Linked DNA regions of Kluyveromyces lactis. The protein of the gene in region 2 interacts with the protein of the main gene of each other region in a biochemical or structural test. Links are inferred from orthologs where the notes say so. Each region holds a gene or a part of one and is shown on either strand. Other genes may lie near its edges.

The links.
Region 1: of the proteins of UBA1 (region 2) and UBC8, one has a biochemical effect on the other in vitro, tested with the Schizosaccharomyces pombe proteins (2 studies listed by BioGRID). The link is inferred for Kluyveromyces lactis from reciprocal best matches to the Schizosaccharomyces pombe genes uba1 and ubc8.

Annotation. Positions count from the first base shown.
Region 1 is NC_006037.1:973,221-975,817, forward strand, and holds UBC8 (E2 ubiquitin-conjugating protein UBC8), read right to left. Parts: upstream 1,310-2,597; coding exon 1,305-1,309; intron 1,139-1,304; coding exon 535-1,138; downstream 1-534. Other genes in the region: HTL1 (Htl1p), read right to left, coding at 1,611-1,856; MAK31 (Mak31p), read left to right, coding at 2,234-2,509; MAK32 (Mak32p), read right to left, coding at 2,566-2,597.
Region 2 is NC_006038.1:1,252,736-1,256,933, forward strand, and holds the start of UBA1 (E1 ubiquitin-activating protein UBA1), read right to left. Parts: upstream 2,921-4,198; coding exon 1-2,920. Other genes in the region: Ran GTPase-binding protein MOG1, read left to right, coding at 3,455-4,048.

The sequences.
Region 1 (2,597 bases), on a different chromosome or scaffold from region 2:
AATAACGTCACAGTACAATATAGATGAATATTAGTAGGATAACAATTACTTGTTAAAGGTATTTATTTGGAGAGAGAGCAACAAAACTGAATATTTATACATCCTAACAAGATAGGAGTGGTTGGTAGACAGTTTCAAACGTTGTTATCACTTACCTATTTACATACTAATTGGTACCATTTTCGCCCCTTCAAAGTTTCAAAAAAATGTCCTGACTATGGGAAAATTGCGGGGAACCACGTGACTCACACGAGTTATTCCATTTGCGGCACACAGTTGCAACTGGTGATTCCAGCATCCAGACGTTAACCGTATAACTGGAGGATATAGGTCCTCTCTCATGGCTTTAATTTCTCAGTTTTCAGTTGAATATACATGTATATATTACTTGAAATGGTATTATGTCCAAGGTTTTGTCCCTCAGTTTCTTTTATTGGAAGTTCAGGTTTAGATATCAATAGTTGGAGTGAATGCAGTATATGCTAGTTTTGATGGATGAAGTGGATATGAGCATTAACTTTTAACTTTCAAATTTCAATCGTCGTCGTCACTGACTTCTATATCACTTAGTTCCATACTATCGTTATCGTCATGTGCTTGCTCGTCGTCTGATTCGTCCATATCCGCATCCTCATCCTCATCATCTGTATCATCGGAACTGTTCCATTTCCCAAACTGCTGTATGTATTTTTCCTTGGTAGCGTATTTGTTGATGTATTCATGTATCTTTTGTTCATACATATCTTTATCCTTCAGTTGCAACGTTGCTGCTTCGTTATTCAAAGGGTCCGACCCATTTGGCTCCTTCAACAACCCTGGGATCATCCATTCCACGATGTTTAAAAGGTCGTATAGCGGAGACCACGTAGAGTTGATCACGTCCAAACAGATCGACCCGGATGCAGCATCGATGTTCGGATGGAATATCTTGTTGACAAACCCTATACTGGGCGATTTGTAAGGATAGTTGTCAGGTAACTCAACGTGTAACCTCCACACCCCCTTTTCATACGGTGTATCCTTGGGACCATGAAATTTTATATGGAACTCTTGCATCTTATCTTCAACCAACTCAACGTCATGATCACTCATCAAAAGTTTCATGACGTCCGTTTCGATCCTCCTTTTTGAATTAGAACTGATTTCAAAAATGTAAACTTGTCGTTTATACACAAGTATATCGTGTAACGAGCCATTCAAGATTATAGTTAGTATTCTGAACAGATCATTCAAACTTTAGTCATAAAAGATACTGAGACACAGCATCTTAAAAAAAAGAAAAAACTCCATTTCAACGAACATACCTCATCTTTAATTAATAAGCTTGACCGTAGCGTGCCTATCGAATACAATAACGCGATATCAGCACCAAACGATTCTATTATCGTTGTCTTAACGCCTGGAACAGCAAAAGATGATGAGTGCTTTCCTTGTTGAAGGGGTTAGCAACTTAAAAGGATCTTTTTGAAGTTCACTTTCCACAATTTTCAAATTCAATGATGGCAGAAGACAGGAAGTCACGTGACAGGAAGAGCAAAAAAAATAGAATACAATGCACAAAAGAGAACCTCTCGGAATTGGGCAGCTTGTATCATAGCATCCCCGTCTTATTAATCTGATTCTGATTTCAAAGTCTCAACTTCTTGTTGTACCGATTGAAGCCTTTTCCTCAGAGAAGCCAGTTTCTTTTCGCGGTCTTCTGACGAACCAAGAAACAATTCGGTTCTGCTACTGTCGTCCAACAAGTTGAAAAGCTCCACCATATTAGCTCTTCTAGACAATAGGTCTTCTGCTGTGATTGTCTTGAGATTGACTTTCAAATCTTGTGGTTGTTCGGTTCCTTGCGTGGTGGTCATTGCGAAATACGATAATACTTTGATAAAACACTGACAAGATGTCGAAAATAACCAGAAGACACAATGGTTGCAGCTAATACGAGTAAAGCTTTCTGAAATGATATCAATTCCAGCGGATACTGAGTCGTTGATACTGAGTCGTTGATACTGAGTTGCTTAGTGAGAAAGAACGAGGATTTCAACGAGCATCTGAACAGATGTAGATGTTTATATCTGTTTAAAACTAGAGATTTCCCATTAAAAAAAAAAAATACGTAAAAGTATATGAAATGAGTTTAGTGCAGAGATTGAAATCTGGCAAACTACCTCAAAGATGAGAAACTGGGCAACGGCAACGCATCAACCAGTTATCATTATCACTCGCATAATTTACATTAATGACAGATTTATCTAACGTACACTTACACGATTTACTGAGCGAAACTTTGTACATAAACTTGGATCAGAAACGATCTTTGACCGGGAAGCTCATCGCTATTGATTGCAAAGCAAACCTTCTACTGGATGAAGTGGTCGAAAATAATGACGGCCATGTACGGAAGATGGGTTTAGTAAGTGTACCATTTGTTTCTGTACGGTCCGTAAAAGTTAGAAGGGAACTGGTCGACACTATCAATGCTCTGAAATTGAATATTTCTTCCCAATACGTATGATAATACAAATTAAAATAAAAAACTGATCTAACTGTTCCCAATAGGTACCTACAGACTTAATATTTCATTGGTTGAAGAGAGTTCAATA
Region 2 (4,198 bases):
CCATTCTATCCTTTAGTTTTTTTGGAGGGAAGAATGATGCGTATAGTAAAGAAACATCGTAGGAGACCATTGTAATTTCCAATCCTTCTTCCTTGTTGAAGTGATCAATCAACTCTCTTAATGTGATATCACCTTGAATATCGAATCTATCCCATATTTTATCGAAAGTCTTATCATTGTATTTACCCTTTTGTGATGCGATTGGTTCTGAGAAACCGAAAAATGGAAGAGCTAAATTCACAAACCCGTTCTTGTATTGTTCAATATCTGTCTTTCCAGCGACGACTTTGTATAGTTCTAGGTTGACCAATCCTGTAACCAAAGCAGTGGTTGTAGCGATGGCAGGAATGATACGGCCAGCAATGAACTTAGTCTTTTGACGATCAGCTGGTTCGATAGAGTAGTTTAGAGCACGGTTGTTCGATGCAGCAGTAATGAACTCAATATGATGGTTTGTATCGTCATCCTTTTCAAATTCAACTGGGATTAGTTGGAAACCAGCTAAGGTAGAAGCATCTGGCAAAGAAGCTGCCAAGTTTTCTAAGACATCGCCACCAAGCTGGTTGTTCGCGTTTGGATCTGGTTCATCGTCATTGGTTTGAATTTTGATGTCAGCTTTTGGAATAAATTCAGGAACTATAAGCTTTGATAGGACGGATTGATAGTAGTTAATGTCTGGTTTACCATCATCTCCCTTTAGACCATAATTGAACGCACGCAAGTTAGCAGATGCAACGATGAAGTGGAAGTGATCTGGGTTTTCGATATTGAAGACTAATGGTTCAGGGGCACGCTTTGGACCAGACCAGAATGGCTCCCCGGTGGATGTTGTTGCATCCTTAGGGAAGTTGTAAAGAAACTGTTGGATATCATAACTAAACTTCTTTTCAAATTCTAATCTTGCCCATTTGACACAATCTTCAAAGTTGTAAGGTCTATTGTTTAGACAATCACTAATTGATTCTAAGATACCTTTGGCATCTGGGGCTTGTTTCAAAGTTTGTTCTACGAAGTTTGGTTGCGTCAAGTATAGGTTAACATTTTCAGCTGCGTCAGAGAAGTAGCCTTGGAATAGGGATTTGGCCCAAGCGATAGTGTGATCAATCTTATTAGGGAATGAACGCAATGTACACAATGGGATTGACTTTTCAGGAGGGTCTCTTGAAGATGAATAAGATTCTGTCAGGTTAGGGATAACCACTTGTGTATTACCCTTTGTCCCCAATGTTCCCGATTCTAGTAAAGGTTTCTTGTAGAACACACAACGACGGTCGACATAGGTACGAGCATCCACATTATCCAATGCGTTGGTAACGAAGTCTAATTGATTCCAAAAAGCATCGTTGAAAATATTCTCTGTTTCAGCACCAACTTTGTCAATCTTTGGCTCGATCTTGCCCTTCAAATCAGGATTCATTGCACTTACAGCATCAGCAGCAACTTCAGATTTATTTCTGCCGACATCCTTTGGTCTGAACAAGAATTGACGATTCAAATTCGACTTTTCAATTGAGTCATTGTCGGTAACAATAATTTTACCTTCAGGGCCAGAAGCCAAACCTAGTAAAGCCCAATTCTTGAGCATCTCACAACCGATCGCACCTGAACCCACTAGGAATACCTTCAAATTTGCGATTCTCTTTTGGAATTCCAAACCGAATACGGAAATTTGGTTATCGTAACGAGAGTTGATTGGTTTCGTGGTATCTGCATTTCTTGGGAAATCTTCAGAATCTGGTAGAGATTCGATGGAATCGAAATACATGTACTGTTTAATAGGAGTGAACTTACCGGAGGAGGCCTTTAACACTTCTTGAGCAACCAGACCACCGAAGAAAGCAACGATACCTGGAATATCACCTCTTGCTTGGTTAGCTAGTTCTGTGATGAGCTTTTCATCAACTTTCCCCTCAGAACCCAGCACTTCAGGTTGTTGTGTAGCTAAATCTATAACGAGTTTAACTAATTCATTAGAATCTTCTTCATAAAATGGCCTTGGCAATTCACCTTGATGTCTAACTTGGAACTGATGTAGGGCCTGGAAACCCAAGTGTAATTGTGCAGTAGTCTCGAATTTGGCGAAATCCGAGTACAGGAACTCTGGTGTTGCCAAAGATTCCCTTAAAGACTTGAACGTTAATTTCTGTGGCATCTTGACCTCGGTGAACAGACCACCTTTCTTGTATGTACCAAGATCCTTAACAGAACCAATCTTGAATGCGAACGGACCCAACACCTCGACCTTGTAAGGAGTACCATCATTCAACTTCTCAAGACCTTCCACCTCGGAGAATTTGACGTAATTGCCATCTTCTAACCCATGTCTGTTATCGTCCAACATGGTCACTGTACCATCCGACTCGATATCAGAAACAATACCTGTCTTTGGCTCTTCACCAGTAGTATCAATAACGGTAAATTCTTCACCTAAATCGACGAAAACGTTACCAAATAACCCACGGGTCTCCGTAGAAATGAAACCGATACCGTGAGAGTGTGTATACTCATTCAACTTCACCTTTTCTTCTAGTGAAATCGTGTCTGTCACAACAACTACTTGGAATTCAGACAATTGTGACACGTCTTCTAGCCCCTCTAGCACCTTCACTGGCACGTATGAGTTTAATTCGGCTAATTTTGCCTGTGATACTTTATCTCTAGCTTGCCCAATATCTTGTTCTGACAGGAAAAACTGCGTAGAAAGATCCTGTAAAGCGACAGCGCTTGGATCATAAAGGGTTAAAGACTTAACACCGGCCAAGACAACGTTCTTGGCAATCTCGACACCTAAACCTTTTAACCCAATGATCAAAACGTTCGAATGTTGCATCTTTAACATCGCTTCTTTACCTAATACGTACAATTGACGAGAGTACAAGCTCTCGTCAATTTCTTCGCCATCAACCTTAATATTCGTCATATCTGATACTAACTTGTGATGCAATGTGATCAAAATGAACGAACGGTTCACTTCTTGTTGCTATTGTTGTTTTAAGGAAACTGGTTTGTAGTTGTTTATAGGTTGTTGGCCTTATTAATTCGGTTTTTGCCACTTTGGGTTCGGTCACGTGAGTGGTTGAGTTTTCAGTCACGTGATATGAATGGAAGATGTTCGAATACAATACGACAGAAAGTGAAGCATTTGAGGTGATAGTATGGTTCCAAGAGCCCATATAAATTGTTTCGTAAATAATTAATTAATACGAGACAGTAATCACTTGATTTAAACCCATTTGGCATGCTTGAAGCCATCATTGCATACAATAAATGCATTTACACCAGCACACCACATAATATTTGAATGTTCGTCAAATGTGATATTTGATTTTCCCTTACCTTGAAGACGAGATGTCCTTCTCAAGAGATAAAGAGAGAGGGAGAGACTTCGACTGGCAAGGACAGCGCGATTGTTTACTCTACCCACAGTCTGACAACCCTATATATCTAATTTTCCATGTCCCATTGGATCAGACAAGAATTGTACGGCGGTGCCATCAGCACCGTCATTCCCAAGACGTTTCTTGATGCTTCAATGCTAAGGCAAGTACCAGACACACAGGAAGTGTTCGTGAATAGCAGACGTGAGAATGAACCTAGTGAGGATGGGCTCGGGTTCGATGAAAGTGTGATCGTAGACCTAATGCAGCGTGTGGAAGAGAATAATGACAGAAAAGCGTTAGATATCCATTTGGCAGAAATTTCAGAACTCAACGGATCACAGAAATGGACAGTAATTGACCATCAAGAGCAAACGGAACTCAAATCACAGACATGTATCGTTGTTGAGACCGCATACAAGTGGGGCAAACAATCGATGAAGGAAACCGTAGTAATGTGTGTTGCATTGCTCAGGTTGGATCAATTCGATACCGACGTCATCATTTCTGTTCACGTGCCTATCTCATCGGAACAAGAACTGAAGGCCATGGAACAGGCAATTGCGCAAAACTCACCGGAAAAGCTACCTCAAAGGGTGCACGCGTCCTATTCGTTGCTTCGGGACATGATCTCGAGCTTCAAAGTGGAGGATCCATCGTTATTTGCATGATCGAAACCAGGTATAGTAAAAGTATAGTAAATTATATATCCGGGTAATGAATTTCTTTAAGAATGAGTGTTTCAACTATGGAAATGGTATTATCAATGATAAACAATACATACTTATTCCTCCATCAGCTAGACTCTCAACGGTATATCA